Rattus norvegicus: one gene and its partners. The protein of the gene in region 4 purifies or fractionates together with the protein of the main gene of each other region. This does not show direct contact. Links are inferred from orthologs where the notes say so. Each region holds a gene or a part of one and is shown on either strand. Other genes may lie near its edges.

Region 1 (2,373 bases), on a different chromosome or scaffold from region 4:
ACATAAATAAATACATCTTTTTTTAAAAAATAAAAATTAAAAAACAAGTTTAAAAGACTGAAGAACCTTGTTGTTTCAGAGTACATCCCTACATACACCCCCAGTTAGAGAAAACCTGGTCCCACCTGAACTGTCATCGGTGTGTACCATAATTAAATGTGCACAGTACTTTCAGTTCACTGGTGTGAGTACTTTAAACCATTTTAAGGACAGGAGAATGCATGAGTTATAGCTGAATGCCTGAGGAACTTGGCTTGGAGGAGGATCCTGAAACCTCCATGGTATGGAAGGATAGCATATTAAACTTTGTAGTATATCAGTTAAATGCTCTGATTTTGAGGTTATTTAAAGTCTTCTGAGATAATGGGATACCAGGTTGGCAGACAGCTTAAAATGAACTCAAAGGGGATAAATATTCTGAACACTGCCTTCCAGCTTTTCCGAAACCATGCCTATTTCTAGTAAGTATTGTTTGCTTGGGTGGTTGTAATTGCCCCATGCTGCTGCATGCCTTTGATCTCAGCATAGGGGGAGGCAAAAGAGGCGGTGGATCTCTGAGCTACATTGTGAGACCCTTAAATAAGTAAAGAAAAATTTTAAATTGTTTAGCTTTACCTAAGGTCAGATTCTTGGGTGGCAGGGCTGGGGTGGGGGGAGTCAAAAGACTAGCTTGTGTGAATTCTTTTTTTTCTAAGACATGCTGTCTGGAACTCACTATGTAGACTAGGCTGGCCTTGAACTCACATTATTCTGCCTCCAAAAGTGTTGGGCTCGTGCAGTCTTCTGTCTCCTTTACATGGTATAAGGCACTCACAGTGAACTGACAGCACTGAGCACAAGTAATTATGGTGCTCACTAGTACGTCGTTCAGGTTTCCCACTGTAGGGTTCTCTAACTCGGGGTGTTTGTAGGGACGTACTCTGGAGCTATGAGGGTATGAGGTTCCTCAGTCTCTTAAACTGTTTTTCTAAAGGCATGGGCTGCCACACTCCGGTGAACTCTTTAAAAGAAGGTAGAATTCCATTAGAATAGGACTACTGTCTGCTTGGGTCTTCCTGGGGAAGGTTAGGACATGGGACTTCACAGTGAGTCTCTCCTTACCACGTTCTTTTTCTGTGTGGCATCTACAGGTCATCCACGACTTCTTATTCTCCTTGAAGGAAAGCCCTGAAAAGTTTCAGATTGAAGCCAATTTTCCAAGACGGGTACTTCCCTGTGTCCCTTCAGAGGAATGGCCCAACCCCCCCACCCTGCAGGAGGCGGGACTAAGCCACACAGAAGTTCTCTTTGTTCAGGACCTGACAGACGAATGACACTTTTCTGCCTCCTTCTTCCCACCCCAATCCCTAAAAGAAATGGAAAAACAAAAACAGAGAACAAGAGATAAATTCATATTATTATTATTATTATAATACAATATTTTTTTTAAAAAAACTGCTGCATCCTGCGGAAGGATCGGAAACCATGCTGCCTGCAAGAGGCACAGCCTGTGTGCGTGTGCAAGGCCGGCAGTGAATGCACCTGCCCAGCAGACTCGCCTTCCACAGCCGCCTCTCCATCCTCCAGTGAAGACTTCACCTCCAACCCATCCCTCCGCCCACGTGGGGAAGGAGACATTCCCACTGTTTCTCAGTCATTCTTGCTTTTGTAGAAAAGAAAAAAAGAAACCCACCATCAGCTCCAGCAGCAGCTCCTGAGGACCTGCTTCTCCTACTTCCAGAGGAAGAGGGGAGAGAAGGATGGACTGACTGCCCACAGTTCATGAATAACTTTGTTTCTGTTTGCTTTGTAATGATAATGACCAAAGGAGTGAGGCTGACTTAGGTGTATTTTTTCCTCAGATTTGATAAAGAGCCAGTGCCCTGGGCTCCATGGCCCACGGCGGTGTAATAAAGGTGCCCTGGGCTCATTTGTGCTTCCTTCTGCCACTGTTCCTCTCACGGTCCCAGAGGTATCCCATTTGGAGCAATGAGAGGAAGTCTGGGATTGTGACCCACAAAAGGCTGTGTGTGGGGTGTGTGTTCCCTTTACACACACATACAGCTTCTCCTTGGCATCTGTACCAGGTGGTGGTGAAGGGGTCTCAGCCAAAGGACAGCAGCTCCTGCTTCCCCTCTGACTGCACACACTGCTCTTCCCGGCTTTCCTAACTTGCCGAGCTCGGTGCCTTTCCAGAGGACTAGGGCCCGGGCCCTCCGTCCCACCTGCGGAGGCTCGTCCTGTTTGAGTGCACATATGATAATGATGTTTAAGGATATAGACCCATCGCAGGCATGGTGGTGTGCTGGGAGGCAGAGGCAGCAGATCTCTGAATTCCAGGCCAGCCTGGTCTACAGAGTGAGGAGGCCCTGTCTCAAAGTTTTGAACCAGAAA
Region 2 (4,197 bases), on a different chromosome or scaffold from region 4:
ATACAGTGTAGTATCTCTTGCCATGCTAACACTAGAGTACAATGAAGTCTGGAAATCTGTAATAAATTGCACTTTGAGAAATCCTAGATCTTCCTAACTTTTCTGGTATATGTACATGTTACTGTGGGCTGTGTACATGTGCATGCACACGTGTATGCTAGAGGTCAATGTCGGGCATCTCCCTTGATTGTGATCCATTTTATTTTTAATTTTATTACATTTATTGTGCGTGTGTGTGAGCATATAGATATGTAGGCCAGAGTTGAGCATCTTCCTTGATTGATTTCGTAGTATTTAAATTTTTTTACTACATTTATTTGGGCTATGTGTGTACACACATCTACCAAGGTGCAGGTGTGGAGAACAGAAGACAGCTTACAGGAATGGGTTCTGTCTTATAAAAGCAAGTTCAGGCCTCCTGACACAACTCCAGCACTTTGTTGCTGGATGTGGCTTTTACATGGATGCCGAGAATGAGAATCTGAATTCAAGCCTTTACGCTAGCATAGCCGACACTTTACTGAGCCATCTCCACAGCCCCTTGCCCAATTCTTTGGTCTTTCCGCATTTTCTGCCTTTAGCAGCCAGTTCTCACACGCGGAGTTTTCCCTTTAAATCGGGGATCCACTGATAAGTAGCCCCAAGGTTTCATCATTCTGCTCCCTATTGTGAGGGCCTAGCTAGATGCTATGGCTGATGAATCATGATGTAAACGAGGAGCAACCAAATTGAACCACAGTAATCAAGTGACAGTGTGAGTGTCTAGAGAGAGCTATTGGGAGCTGACAATTTGTTCTCATCTAATCTCAGTCTACCTTAGGACATGGGTGGACATTGTCATTTATGAGACATTTCCTTCAGAGGTAGATGGAGAAAAGGGCTGACTGGCTGACAGCGTGATGGGGACAGCTTGAGGGAATAGTAGGCTGCCTAACGGCACAAGGGCTGTGTTTCAGTGAACTCAAACGGCTGCAGGGCACAGACGGATGCTACTATTGACTGACGTAGTGCGAATGAAGAAGCGAGTGATCTGAACGGACACCTGATGGCAGCGACCGACTTATTTTTTATTTGAATCAGATGACTGACTGAACACCTATATATGGCTCTAGATCCACCCTGGAAGTGAATGCTTGCTCTAGGTTAAAATATGACGGGCAGAATTGGGGTCGGACAAAACAATCCCTTTATGACTGGCTGACGACATGATTGGCTAGCACTATGACTGACAGGAGGTAGAGCCTGGAGCAAAGTCAACCATTGCTCCTGCGCAGGCGCAGCACATTGAATAAAAGCAGCAGGCACGGGCGCTCGAGACCACTCCTGGTGACGGGAGGTGCTGCTGCGCAGGCGCATGCTGAATAAAAGCAGCGAGCACCGGCGCTCGAGACCACTCCTGGTGACGGGAGGAGTCCAGTCACAGCTCCCCGGTTGGTCTGAGCGGGAGCTGCGGGCGGTGAGGAACGGCCAATAGACTGCGCGTCCCCGGCCACGCCCGCGCGCGCTCTCTTCTCGCGAGGCCTTTTAGGCCCGAATGTCGTTAGCTGTGGAGAAAGATGGCGGAAAATTTAAAAGGTGAAGCTGTGGTGGTAGAGACGCAAGCTACTGGCCCGGCCGAGTAGAATGGAGGGAAGGTGTCCAGGGTTCCGAGCCGGGCGTCCGGAGCCACGGAACCTGGAGCTAGAAGGCCGGCGCGGAAAACGTGGGGCCCGAGAGCGCGGGCCGGGCGCGCGGGCAGGGCGGGGCTGAGGGGAGGGGGCGCGTGCTTCGGCCGCGGGGGGCGCGGGGCTGCGCAGACTGCGCGCGGGGTTTCTCGGCCGCGCGCGGCTGGCCGGCGCGCCTACGCGCGTGAGAGAGTCCTGAAGAGAAGGTTGCGGCCACGCGCGGGAAAAGCGGCTCTCAGTGACCGTTACCCTTTCGGTTTCCACGGGAGACGCCGGAAGGGGAGGAAGAAGTGGAACGGACCCCCTTCTCAAAATGGGGGAACCGGCGACTCTAGGTGGGAAAGGGATCTCGGCCAGATGGGGGCAGGGTTTAGGGGTGGACGATTCTCCCCAGAAAGCGGGATTGGGGGCCTCGGTGAGGAGGGCAGGGCTCCTCCATGTGCAGGAAAAGAGGGGTGACTGTGCGTGTTGGGCGGGCTCCTCGGCAGTGAGTAAAGCTGTGAGCATAGATTCCACAAGTGTGAGCAGGAGCTCGGATGGGTAGGAGTGCGGCTGCGGTTAGTGCGCAGCCAGATGCTGGAGATGTTATTTTCAGGCCACTTCTCAGGGGTTTCAAAGGCTTTTCCAACACGGGTTAGAGGCTTTGGGCAAGGAAAGGCCTTGGGTAAAAGGATGAGTGTACACGCAATGAGTTTTTTGAAACTGTTTTGTATGTTCTTAGATTACAATCTAGAGTATCTTATTAGGATCGTTTTAGGTTTGAGTAGAAAGATGGAGTTGGTTATTGACAGCATACCCCTAGCATCAAGTGGTTTTGTGACATATTTGATTTTTAAAAATGGCTTCTAAAATTACGTTGAAGGGATGTGCTCTGAAGCAAAAAAAAATGTGTATATTTTAAATCTGTTTCGCTTGAACAATTTTGGTGACCCTCAAGAGTGTCAGCGACTTACCACATGTATTGTTTGCATGTTACCGAATTAAGAGCAGATCCCTTTAGATTGAGTTGTACTTTTAAGAGAAACGTGGGATGAGACAGCAAGTGATAATGCAGCCTGGAAAAATAGGCCTTGGGTATATAAAGTGGTCTAGAATAAGTCCAAGAAGCTTCCAGTAATGTAGTACCCCTCCACCCCCCGGACAGACTGGCTGTTCTGGAACTCAGATTGACTTGCCTCTGCCTTTCAAGTGCCCAGTCTAAAGCACCACTATGTCCACCTTAATGTAATGTCTTTCTACAGTCTTTATAATTCAAGAATCTAAAAAAAACATTGAACTAGAAGTCTTTCTGAAATTTGTCACTAATCATGGCAAGAGATTTTTACAAGTGGGATTATTCAGTGAGAATATTTATTTTAATATGAATAATCAAGGCTTTTGCTATAGATGTGTTTGCTATTAATGTGTTTTGATTATAGATGGCTTAACGTCCTAGACCCTGCCAGGAATTCGCCTAAAATTACTTGTGTAAAATTCCCAAATGTTTGATCCAAAATCCAGTGGCCCAGAAGTTTCAAGATAAGTGAAGACTTTACAGCAACACCTCTGGTGCCCTAGTGATTTTCGCCCTACCCTGCCTCCCTTAGTCAACGCACCCCACTGAGCTAGGAAGCTATTGTCTTTTCTTTTGCAAAGTGCAATGAGCATTGATTAAGGCTCTGACCTCAGGTAAGTTTGCTGGGAGCTTAAGGCCTTGGATGTTCTGGGAGTGGATCCCTTTATGGACTTGACAATTGCTACAAGCTCCACATCATCCTTGCTATTTCAGAGTTAGGGGGGTAGGGTTTGGAGTTGAAGATTCCCCCAGAAGAGGGCGTAGGTCCTCTGATCGGAGAACTGGACTCTTCCATGTGCACAGAAAGACAGGTTGGGTAACTTTTTCTGGTGTTGCCCTGAGATTTGAACATTAGGTTTCAAGGAATTGTCATTTCTTGTTACAGAGGATTTTAGCTTTGAGTAAGACCTGTGATTACATTTTTTTGTGGGTCTTTGGCCTTCTCATTCCAGGTTGCAGTGTGTGCTGTAAATCTTCCTGGAATCAGCTGCAGGATCTGTGCCGACTAGCCAAGCTTTCTTGTCCTGCCCTTGGTGTTTCTAAGAAGAATCTGTATGACTTTGAAGTTGAATACCTGTGTGATTATAAGAAGATCCGTGTAAGTCTGGGGTGTGTGTGATACTACACTGGAGGGGACCCTCTTTTCTACCCAACCCTCACATCTGTTTGCAAAGAGGATTTTTCTCTGATTCATCCTGGGGGAGAATGGGATGAATTGACCCTCTTATTTCTATTTTACAGGGAGGGAAATTAAGTGACTTTCTTAGAGAACAAGAGGCAGAATGAATCGTCAAATGCATGTCTATTTCCACCTAGAAATAGAATAGTTACAAAATTGAAATTCTATGCCTAAGAGTGGAAGATGACAACAGGTAGTAGAAACAGTTACTGATGCCACAGAAGTAGTAGCAGGTTAGAGGAGCCCACTGAAAGCAGCATGTTTAGTTGAAATGTAGCCTTCAGTTTCTTGTCTGTAAA
Region 3 (4,079 bases), on a different chromosome or scaffold from region 4:
GGGGGTGATGTGTTCATCTCATGGTTCTGGCAATTCTGGGTTGATGCTATCACCTAATAGCAGAGCCCTTGCCTAGCTTGTGGATGGGCTGGCACTGGAAAGATTCTGGATACTGTACCATATTTCATGTCCCCAGTGGGTTGCTTCTTCAATTTTAAATCCCTTGGGTTTGCCTGTTTAATGTCCTTTGTTGAAGAGTCAAGTACAGGACAGTAATTAAAGCTGTGAGCTTCTTTGGAGAGAAGAGTCTCAAGCTCCAGATGATCTGGGAGCCCATGGCCCCAGGTTGTCCTTGTTCTCTCAAGATCTCCCTCATCCTCCCTGAGTGCCGCTGGGAGTTGAGCCACATCTGCCTATGGGAGTATAGATTTCCTCAGCCCTGACAGCTACTTAAGTTTTGGAACACAGTGATTGCTTAAATTACTATTGAATAAATACTTTAAGGGAGAAATTAAGTTTAAGGGATTAAATTTCCCACCCATTTTTTTCCTGGCCCTTACTGATATACAAAAAGCATATTTAGGATCTTTTCTACAGTCTGAGTCAGTAATTGTTTGGTGGAACAGTAATTATTATCTGTATTTCAGAGATACGTGAGTTTATGAGGTGTGAGGGTATGACTGGTAGTACTTGCTCTGTTACAGATTACCCCCCCCCAAAGATGTTTATCTCCACCTCTTGTGATTAATACAATTAGTTTAGTGAACTTTAAGTGATACCTGTAAGCAACACTTGAGAGGTTGAGGCCGACTGATTTCAAATTCCAGACCTGTGTGGGCTACGTGGCAAGTTCAATGCTAGACTGAACTAAATTGCATGAATCTTCCTCAACATTACAAAACAAAAAGATAAAAATTAACAAAAATTAATGTTAATAATTTTCCGTACTCTAGGCTTCTAGACTTTATGGAAAAGTCTTTTCGCTTTTTAAGCACTCACCTACTTCTTTTCTCAAGTTTCATGGAGGGGTGGCTACTGAGGAATCTCCATGCAAAAACAAAACAAAACAAAAAAACACCTCGAGGATTAAAAAAGAGGCAACCGGAAAAAAATTCACCTCCGGACGCGATTGAAAAGACCGCAGCGCCACCACGGCAGACGGGCCTCATTTTTCAAGGCAGGAGGCGTGGCCAAAATCCCTCATTCAAATAAAAAACCAGGAGATTTGCATGGAGAATAGGCATCGCGCGCTCTCATTGGCCGATCGCGCAGTGGGTGGAGTACATAGTGCGCCCACGAAGCTCCGCCCCCACCTATTTGCATAACGGCCCCGGCGCGTGCTGGGGAGAAGCGGGTTTGTTTTTGAATCTGCGGTGGCGGCGAGTGGAGCGCACGGCTGAGACGGCAGCGTCCGGGACGGCTGCGCGGGACGGCTGCGTAGGAAGGAACTCGGGTCCCAGGCCCTCACCTCCCGCCCCCGAAGGTATATGCGAGTGCCAGGGGCTGTTCTAACCACAGTCGGCGAAATGACTATTGTATTTCGGAAGAGTCAAGACCGCATTATGGCGGCTGCGGGAGTTGAGTGTGCGCCTGCGCGGTTGCGAAGCTGCGGGCGGGCGCTGCATGGGAGCACGTGATCGCTGGGGGTCGGGCTCTAGCTGCAGTTGAGCAGCTGTCCGGGCGGTGGCTGCGCAAGCGCAATATTCATTTTCAAGAGCTAATGTTCTTGTTGGACGCCATTTGGGTTCTAGATTTAATTTTTCTCATTCTCGAGGGGGTTTCGTCTCGTGCCTCTTCTTTTCACATTTTCCGAGGGAAACGTTTCTCTCGTGTCTTAAACCTTCCCGCACCTCAAAATTCTTAGTTTCTCTGACTGTCTCACCGGTGCAGACTTGATTTTTTGGTACAAATTGTCTCTTGTGGTTCTCGATTATAATTTCACGTTTAGTTAGGTGTTTCTGGATTTGCATTGCATTAAGGGAGATAAGATCAGCACCTAGTGGTGTTCTCGGGGGAAGTGCATTTACTTCAGCTGCACTTTTGTAAATACATTTTTAACCCTGTGGTTACCAGTTCGCTTTTGGATGTGCAGTGTTTACAAAATAGAAACTTAGAAAAATAGAAACCATTTTATTTTTGTATTGTTTAGTTTCCGAGGAGAATTAGAAAATGTACAAATTGGGTTGAAATCTCAGTTTTTTCAGGTATTCTATCTTTTCTTTTAAAGAAAATATTTCATCTGGTCAATGAAGTTTTAATCCTGAACAGTTTGCCAAGTACTTGAATCTTTTGTTTTTAGTTTTAGTATTTTTTCAGTTATTTAAATATTAAAAATGAACTCGTTTTCTCATCATTTTGTAATGACGTATAAGCTATTATACCTGATACCGGTTTTTGATGAAGAATTTTACAAATAATTCCAAGTTATATTGAGGCCTTTATGTATTCAGGGAATCAATTAAAATTTTTGAGTTTTTAAAAAAATATGTGCACTGTAGTATATGTGTATGATTGTATGCTTTACATATTTTTTAGCTGTATATGTTCTGGTTTTAGTTTCTTAAAATAACTGGTGTGCTACTGATTAAAGTTGTGGTGCCACTAAATTTCAGTTGTACGTAGAATAATTGGGTCAATATACATATAATTTAAAATATCATTTTTTTATTCTGCCACTTGTTTCTTACTGGTCTAAAAACTTGTAAATGGTTTCATAAACTTTATCTGTCATTCACATGTACAGTCCCTTTTTAGTTGATTATGTAACCCAAGTTTAACTCAGTCTGTTGTCAAGTTAAAGTGTTGTTTTATATAATGTCGATTGGTTTGGGGTATCTCTATTACCTGAAACAAGTACTATTAGAAATAGCAGGGTATAAGTGAAAGGAGCTTTTTTCTTTTTTCTTTTTTTTTTTTTTAAATGATGTGACATATGGCATCGAATGGAAGGATGAGGAAGATCTTGTCTTTTCTCCCCCTGTAGCAAGCAGGTCTAAATTTGATGTAATGGGACTCTTGAGCCTCTGTTGTCTTGTAAAAGGAATGGAGGCAGTTCTGCCTTTTTGAGACTTTGATGCTTCTGAGGCGGTTCCCCTCACCCCATGTTTGTACTCCTAGTACTTGGGTTTATGTATTTAAAATTACACTTTTCTTTGAATGCATGGGTAACTGTGTCATGAATTAATATTGAAGATCATAGAGGCACTGGAAAACTGTATAACATTCAATTTCAATATCGATGGCACAGTTTTACTACTATATTTCTTTTTTTTTTTTTTTTTTTGGTTCTTTTTTTCGGAGCTGGGGACCGAACCCAGGGCCTTGCGCTTCCTAGGTAAGCACTCTACCACTGAGCTAAATCCCCAGCCCCCGCTACTATATTTCTTAGAAGGCAAATGTAATTTTAAGGACTGGGGAGATGGCTCAGCGGTTAAGAGCACTGACTGCTCTTCCAGAGGTCCTGAGTTCAAATCCCAGCAACTACATGGTCGCTCACAATCATCTGTAATGAGATCTGATGCTCTCTTGTGGTGTGTCTGAAGACAGCTACACTGTATATAATAAATAAATCTTTTTTTAAAATGTAATTTTAAGTTTACTAAAAATGAATTGTCTGAAGGTCAATGGTTGTATTTCAGAAACAAGTACTAAAAGTTTGAAGTTTTAGTTTGGTTATGATTAAATGAAGCTTTAACATACACTGTGTATATATGTATATTATATGTTTTATATATTATATGTTTTATATATATTATATATAATATATATGTACACACACATACTAGGTTACCCAAAGTAGAACAATTACTGAAGCTATTTAAAAATATAGTAGTTTTGTAAATTTTAAATATGTAGTTAGAAAAAAAATCAGGCTGGAATGATTTAAGTCATAAAATTAAAATTTTATTTTTTACAAATTACTTGATCTTTGTGCTATGTTTGAATATTTTACACTTATACATTATGAAGATTTAGTATGAAGTTAATAATCTTAACTACTCTGGGATCTTTGTGACTTCACTTTTGCTGTGGTAGATCAGTCTATAAAAATTTATCACTTAATGTTTGTTTGTTTAGTCATTTCTTTATTTTTTTCCAAGACTAGCTTTCTCTGCCCTGGCTGTTCTCGAACTCACTAT
Region 4 (3,517 bases):
CCTTGACTTTTAGGAGATGGCAAGGATGTTTAGAAGTACCCTATTGAACTGTTGACAGTCTGTCTGAGGAGTCAACAGGGAGTAGCATTACATTGTTGTCCAGGTTTGTTTGGTAAGGCAAAGGATCTGACCTTGTTCTTTAGCGTCCCGAGCACAGCTGGCTGGTGTATTAGTACACACCTGTAATCTCAGTTCTTGAGAGGACAGAGCAGAAGATTTGGGAGCTGCAGAATATTCTGGGCTACATGAGACCTTGTCTCAAACAATAAAACAAAAAAACTGTATGAAAGATGAGAGAAATGACTTAGCCAGATGGAGAGAAAACTATATAGCAAAGAGGCTTGTTGCCTTCTGATCTAATATCTTGCTTTTCATTTGCAGATCACCTTCAGCCTCTGTAACATCTACCCCAGCACCTGCAGCCCCTTCTGGGCCTCCAGCCCCTCCAGGGCCTCTTGCTCCTCCTGGACCACCGGCCCCTCCAGCTTTCCACGGCATGTTAGAGCGGGCACCAGCTGAGCCCTCCTATCGTGCCCCTATGGAGAAGCTTTTCTATTTACCTCATGTCTGCAGTTACACTTGTTTGTCCCGGATTAGACCCATGAGGAATGAACAATATCGGGGCAAAAACCCTCTACTGGTCCCACTATTGTATGACTTCCGGAGGATGACAGCACGTCGCAGAGTTAACCGCAAGATGGGCTTCCATGTAATCTATAAGACACCCTGTGGTCTCTGCCTTCGGACGATGCAGGAAATAGAGCGCTACCTTTTTGAGACTGGCTGTGACTTCCTGTACCTGGAGATGTTCTGTTTGGATCCATATGTCCTTGTTGACAGAAAGTTCCAGCCCTTTAAACCTTTTTACTATATTTTGGACATCACCTATGGCAAAGAAGATGTTCCCCTGTCCTGTGTTAATGAGATTGACACAACTCCCCCACCCCAGGTGGCCTACAGCAAGGAACGCATTCCTGGCAAGGGTGTTTTCATTAACACAGGCCCTGAATTTCTGGTTGGCTGTGACTGCAAGGATGGGTGTCGGGATAAGTGAGTTGGTGGGGTGTGCAGACATTGCTGTCTCTGCCTTCAGGTTTAATACAGTTGCTTTTCTTTTTATTCTTTTATTCTTTTTTATTTGTATTGCTTTTTCTATATTCCCTTTCCTCTTTCAGCTAGAATTCTGCTAAGCCATTGTGAAATACAGATACAGAAGCTGGGTGCAGTGGCACAGACCTGTAATCTCAGCATTTGAAATTCAGCACTGCAGCAGGTTCATCTTGAGCTCTGGGCCAGCCTAGGCTAGCTACACAGTGAGATCTTACTGAAAAGAAAAAAAGAAAGACATGAGATAGGGACACCAGGGTCTGATAGTCTTATATGGCCCCATGAGTTACCCTGGGAATTGTTCTGTTCCTATCCCCACTTGCTATTTTTGTCTCCCCTTTTCTTTCTTTCTTTCTTTTTTTTTTTTTTTTTTTTTTTTTTCCGGAGCTGGGGACCGAACCCAGGGCCTTGTGCTTGCTAGGCAAGCGCTCTACCACTGAGCTAATTCCCCAACCCGTCTCCCCTTTTCTTAAACTTTCATCTTGTCTCTGTTTTCTGCACTATGATTCTCTATATCTACTCTACTCTCACTGTATCTTATTCATGCTTGTTCTTACTACCTTTACCCTACCCCCATCCTTTGTGGTTGATTTTTGCCCTAAGGCTCAGGTTTGTTGATGGCTTAAAGGGCTATTGGGAGTCCCTGGTGACTGAGGGTGAGGCCTGGAAGTTCCTGGCAAGTGAAAGAGTTTACATAACCAAGAACTGCTTAAAAGTATGGCTTTTAGCTCCACCTTGCCATAGTAGAGCTTGCTTCTTGCTCAGCATGGCTCTGGAGGTTAGAGCCTTTCTATTTCTCAAAATTTAGGCAGTCCTTGCCAACAAGGTCACCCACTCAGCAGGTGCACCTCCTTACCACAATGGGCACCTTGGGCATGGAAGAGCCTGGCTTAAGATGAGTGACTATAGCTAGCAGGTCCTAAGTTGTGTGTTCAGCTCAGTTTTTATTTAAGATGGCTCAAGCCAGCCGGAACTTACTAGCTGAGGATAGCAGTTAACCACTGATCCTCCAACTTCTATGTCTCAAATGTTGATTACAGATGTGGATCACTATGCCCAGCCCTCATCCTCATGAACCTAAGAACCACAGCTGTAGTTACCTTCTCTCTCTCTGCAGATCCAAGTGTGCCTGCCATCAGCTCACTGTCCAGGCCACAGCCTGTACCCCAGGGGGTCAGATCAACCCTAGCTCCGGCTACCAGCACAAAAGACTAGAAGAGTGTCTGCCCACAGGGTAAGTAGTCAGTTTGCCCAAGTCCTCAGAGGAGTACATTCTTGTTTTTCTGTTTGTAAGAACCTTTGGAAACCTAACTTGCCAGGAGGCTGAAACAGGAAGATAGTTTCAGATCCATCTGAGCTATAATACTAAAATTCTGTCTCAAAAAATATATGAGAGTAATTAGAGAGTTTTCACTACTTTTTCTTATGCAGAAATCTTAGAAGGATGTGATAGCATATGCTTGTAATCCCAGCACTCAGGAGGCAGATGCAGAAGGATTGCTTGATTTCTAGGTCTGCTTAGACAATGCAGCAACACCTTGTGTAGAAACAAACAAAAATGGAATTGGCAGTGCTCAGCAGTTCAGAGTGAAGCACCTGTTCCTGCAGAGGACTTGGTTTGATTCTAGCACCTACATGGTGGCTCATAGCCACTTGTCACTCCGGTTCCAGGGGATCTGGTACACAAATGCTCACAGACATGCATGCAAACAAAACACTCATATACCTAAGATTAATTTCATAGATGTCTGAATGTTCTGATTATGACGAGTGAATTACAGGGCTTTGTTAACCTAAAATGAAAAGTTAGAATCAGGCCCAGTGGTAGTGGTGTAGTCTTGTAATCTCAGCACTTGGGAGACAGAGGCAGGAAGTTAAAGGACACCCTGGTCTGTTCCAGGCCAGTGAGTGGGGAAAAGAAAGTTAGAGTCAAAATCGTGATAAATAGGTAAGTAGGTAGGATTTTTGTTTTTTTGGTTTTTTTTTTTTTGGGGGGGTTCTTTTTTTCGGAGCTGGGGACCGAACCCAGGGCCTTGCGCTTCCTAGGCAAGCGCTCTACCACTGAGCTAAATCCCCAACCCCGGTAGGTAGGTTTTTAAGTAGCCTTTTAATATTTTTTTTTCTTTTTGGGGGGTGCTATTTGTCTTAGATCAGAAAAACAGAATTTCAAAGATTTCAAAGACCAACTTGGTAATTTTAAGAGAATATATGAGAAGTAATGGGAGCTTAGGCCTTACACTAGAATGGAAATGGCAATGGGGATTAAGGAGGATAGGGCTGAGTGTGTAGCCCAACAGAGGCATGGTTAATATGCACCAAGAATGAAGTAATAAATGAGAGCTGTTGGGTGCATGAGAAAGTACAGCTCTATAGAGAGAGAACTTGTTTGTTGGTTGGTTGGGGTTTTTTT
Region 5 (3,517 bases), on a different chromosome or scaffold from region 4:
CACTCATCCCACCATTGGCCGTGTATTCTCCAGTTGTTCTCTCTGACAGCTATGTCAGTGTGCACTAGGGCTGCACTTTGTATCCAGCCAGGCTGCTTGGCTGGTGCTCTCTCTAGTGGCCACACCAGAGGCTGCCAACTCCTAAAAACCATGCTACCAAAGCCTGGCCTCAGGGCTTCTTGGAGAGCAACCAGTACATCCCAGAGCATGCCCTGGGCTTTCTGAAGCTCTGAGTCAGAGAAGCAGCAGCTTGGGCCTCCTGTAGCATTAGGAATATACAAGATAGTCATAGCCCAGCTGACCACTTGAATCCCTAGTGCTTTACCAAGGTACAGGCCAGACAGGCAGGCAGAATCAGATCTAATATACAAGGGCTAACAGGGTGGCTCAGCAGGTCAAAAGCTCATCACCCATGCCTAGTATCCTGAGTCCAACTCTAAGAACCTGTCTGCGATGGGAGGAAAAACATTGACTACAGAAAATGTCCTCTGACCTCTGCATACACAGATACAAGAAAAAAATCATAAAGAAAAAGACACTCAGTTGCTTGCTGCCAAACCTAAGGACCTGGATTCCACACACAGAGCCCACACATTGTAAGAACTAACTCCTTTAAGTTTCATTCTTAACTACACATGTGCATCATGTGTAGTCACCCCCTCACTCTATAACCATTCACTTCATGCTCTTTCAGAGGACCTGAGTTTGGATGCCACATCCCACAGCTCAAAACCCCAACCCTCCCTAATTCTGCAGTCAAAGCCACAGAACATAAGACTTCCCAAGCAAGGGGTTGGGGATTTAGCTCAGTGGTAGAGCACTTGCCTAGCAAGCACAAGGCCCTGGGTTCGGTCCCCAGCTCCGAAAAATAGAAAAGGAAAAAAAAAAAAAAAAAAAGACTTCCCAAGCAAAAACCAAAACAGCCAGCAGAACAGGAAGGGACAAAGCGCAGGAGGTGGCAAGCTACCATACACAGTGCAGGCTACAGCAAGCTATCGTCAGGGCACTCCAAGCCCTTCCCCAGTGTTTCTTCCCACTGTAAGGTAAGTGGGTCTTGTCACTGGCTCTGGCTCTGGTATTGGTCACAGGTCAAGTGGCTGTAGCTGATGAACTTCCAGCTTCACAGGGTGATTAGCTGGGGACTTGATGGAGGAACAGAACAAATTCCTACATGTAAACAGACTCCTTCACTGAGCTGATGCGAGCGTCATTTCTTCACTCACCTGCAGGCCGAGGTGGCAGAGGTTAGGAGGGGCCACCTAACACCTCAGTTCCCACATGGTGGTGCTGGCCAGGGTCACCACAGCTTTCCTTCCCCACAAACAAGGCTCTACAGGGAACCTCAGAATTGCCACTGGAATCCACAGCACTATGGCATGTCTCACACTGGCCAGGTGATGAGAATAAAATATTTTGTGCAAACATTGAGACCATGTTCAGACCCTGGCATGTGCTTAGTTCTGAAATTACAGCATTCAGGGGCTGAAGAAAGATGGTGAGCTCAAGACTACCTCAGCCTACACAGCCATAATCCTAAGCCTACAGAGCTAGATCCTAACATGCCAGGGCCAGGATCGAAGATACCCCAAGCCACCAAAGCCACTGTGGGACCAGCATTTGAGCAACACACCATGTCAGGAGAGAAAAATGAGAGTGGGCAGTGAGGGAAGCTGGCTAGGTGAAAGGGCAGCCTCAGGCCACACACTTTCTATTGCACCTCAAGCCTCTCTGTTCCTATGGCTGCCATGCCAGCCACAGGTCAGCTCCCAGAGCAGCATTGCTGGGCTCCATGGCCTTCTAATGGCAAAGAAAAAGCTCAGACTTGAACCCTGACAGGAATGTATTCAGTGGTCCTAAAGCAAGGCTAAGGAGGTGTGTTGTCAGTACAATGCTGCCATCCAAGATAACAACCACATGAAACCTGGAGCGCGGCACGGGGATCTGGCACTGGAGCGGGAGCAGGGAGCCCTCTTCCTGCTTGCTGGCCAGCCAATCTACAGACAATTTGTAGGTATGAAGCTCCAAGAGATGATCTCAAAAACCAGAGTGGATGGAGCAAACTCACAGCAGTAAACACCCAGCAAGAGTCAACTGGGCCTAGAGCAGAGAGAGCTGAGGCGGCGCTCACCTTGGGAGCCTGCGGAGTCTTCGGTTTCTGAAAGAACCTGGTGATCTCTGCCTTCTCTGCCTTAATGCGCTGTGGTGGGAAGGAGACCAGACAGGCACTTACCCAAAGCATTCTGAGAAGGCATACTGCTCCCAACTGATGAGGGACCCACACAGTAAGGAAGCAGTTCTGGCACTGCAGCCCAGATAAGATCTGAGGGTGTATGGAGGGCAGGGAGCCAGGCTACCTTTTCTTCTTCCCGTAATCGCTTCTCCTCCTCTTTCCTCCTCTTCTCTTCCAGTTTAGCCCTGGGAGACAGAAGTGAGTTGTAAGCCCAGGGAATCAGCCCCTCCCAAATCCGATCTTCTACAAGGCTCTGGCACTGGGACTAACAAAGGAAAATGCACAACCTCAAAGTTCTTCTTTTTGCTTCTGAGACAGTCTTGTTAGGCAACCCAAGGCCTCCTGCTTCTGCCAATGTGCCAACGTTATTGGTATCCCAAGACTCCAAATAAAATTATTTTGAGAGAGGGTCTCACTATGTAGACTAGGCTCCAACTCACAGAATGCATTAGCTAGAGTGAGGATTAAAGGCATGCATCACATCTGCCCATCAATATAAAATTCTTGATGGGCTGGGGTTCTATGAGTAGAGTGGTGGCTAGTCATGCACCAGGCTGTTGTCCATTCCCAACATGTCAACACTCAGCACTCAGATGGAGGCAGGAGGATCAAAAGCCCGAAGTAATTTGCAGCAATACAACAAACTTGCTCAAAAATCACTTGCCATTTATTAATCTCAACTACCTACTTGCAAGGAACAAAGAATTTTTTGTTGTTGTTGTTGTTTTTGGTGGGCATAGTGGCATATGCTTTTAATCCCAGCAGAGGCAGGCTGATCTCTGAGTATGAGGTCAGCCTAGTCTACAGAGTGAGTTCCAGGACAGCCATGGCTACAGAGAAAACCTGTCTCAGAAAACCAAATGAAATGAAACCAAAAAGAGAAAAACAAATGAACAGTACTATCTGGATAGAAATGAGAATGTCTCATGAGATACAGAGCTCCTGTGAACTTCTTTCAGAGTCAAAACCTCACGGGACACAGTGGTTATCCACTGAGGCAATGGTCCAGTTAGGAAACTGAAGAAGAAATCCTGATGTGACTAGAGCATTTAAAACCAAAATCCCAATCAGCCTGGTAGCCACCAGCCAGCCAAAGCCCACAGCCCCACAGAACATAGGCCAGAAGCCAACTACACCTCTCTAATCAAGCTCCAGAGAGTGAGAATGAGAAACAGAAAGGACTCATCAGGGAACACAGCTGTGGAATGCCCATAGGGGCTGGCCACTCACTCCAGAGCTTCCTGTCGCTCCTTTCGTCTTTCCTCCTTGAGCCGCTGCTTCTCCGCC

Evidence for each region.
Region 1: the proteins of Setdb1 (region 4) and Faf2 purify together in Homo sapiens (affinity purification with mass spectrometry; 3 studies listed by BioGRID and IntAct, counting the BioPlex papers as one, with this or other methods). This does not show direct contact. The link is inferred for Rattus norvegicus from reciprocal best matches to the Homo sapiens genes SETDB1 and FAF2.
Region 2: the proteins of Setdb1 (region 4) and Suv39h1 purify together in Homo sapiens (affinity purification with mass spectrometry; 3 studies listed by BioGRID and IntAct, counting the BioPlex papers as one, with this or other methods). This does not show direct contact. The link is inferred for Rattus norvegicus from reciprocal best matches to the Homo sapiens genes SETDB1 and SUV39H1.
Region 3: the proteins of Setdb1 (region 4) and Atf7ip purify together in Homo sapiens (affinity purification with mass spectrometry; 6 studies listed by BioGRID and IntAct, counting the BioPlex papers as one, with this or other methods). This does not show direct contact. The link is inferred for Rattus norvegicus from reciprocal best matches to the Homo sapiens genes SETDB1 and ATF7IP.
Region 5: the proteins of Setdb1 (region 4) and Chaf1a purify together in Homo sapiens (affinity purification with western blotting; 3 studies listed by BioGRID and IntAct, with this or other methods). This does not show direct contact. The link is inferred for Rattus norvegicus from reciprocal best matches to the Homo sapiens genes SETDB1 and CHAF1A.

What each region holds. Positions count from the first base shown.
Region 1 is NC_086035.1:9,954,186-9,956,558, reverse strand, and holds part of Faf2 (FAS-associated factor 2), read left to right. Parts: intron 1-1,130; coding exon 1,131-1,313; 3' UTR 1,314-2,373. UniProt on the Homo sapiens protein: Plays an important role in endoplasmic reticulum-associated degradation (ERAD) that mediates ubiquitin-dependent degradation of misfolded endoplasmic reticulum proteins.
Region 2 is NC_086039.1:17,091,670-17,095,866, forward strand, and holds the start of Suv39h1 (histone-lysine N-methyltransferase SUV39H1), read left to right. Parts: upstream 1-1,389; 5' UTR 1,390-1,556; coding exon 1,557-1,575; exon of another isoform or gene 1,576-1,977; coding exon of another isoform or gene 1,978-1,999; intron 2,000-3,671; coding exon 3,672-3,817; intron 3,818-4,197. UniProt on the Homo sapiens protein: Histone methyltransferase that specifically trimethylates 'Lys-9' of histone H3 using monomethylated H3 'Lys-9' as substrate. Also weakly methylates histone H1 (in vitro).
Region 3 is NC_086022.1:171,115,852-171,119,930, forward strand, and holds the start of Atf7ip (activating transcription factor 7-interacting protein 1), read left to right. Parts: upstream 1-1,270; 5' UTR 1,271-1,423; exon of another isoform or gene 1,424-1,471; intron 1,472-4,079. UniProt on the Homo sapiens protein: Recruiter that couples transcriptional factors to general transcription apparatus and thereby modulates transcription regulation and chromatin formation. Can both act as an activator or a repressor depending on the context.
Region 4 is NC_086020.1:185,598,473-185,601,989, reverse strand, and holds part of Setdb1 (histone-lysine N-methyltransferase SETDB1), read left to right. Parts: intron 1-381; coding exon 382-1,050; intron 1,051-2,224; coding exon 2,225-2,341; intron 2,342-3,517. UniProt on the Homo sapiens protein: Histone methyltransferase that specifically trimethylates 'Lys-9' of histone H3. H3 'Lys-9' trimethylation represents a specific tag for epigenetic transcriptional repression by recruiting HP1 (CBX1, CBX3 and/or CBX5) proteins to methylated histones.
Region 5 is NC_086027.1:978,214-981,730, reverse strand, and holds part of Chaf1a (chromatin assembly factor 1 subunit A), read right to left. Parts: coding exon 3,461-3,517; intron 2,416-3,460; coding exon 2,355-2,415; intron 2,198-2,354; coding exon 2,129-2,197; intron 1-2,128. UniProt on the Homo sapiens protein: Acts as a component of the histone chaperone complex chromatin assembly factor 1 (CAF-1), which assembles histone octamers onto DNA during replication and repair.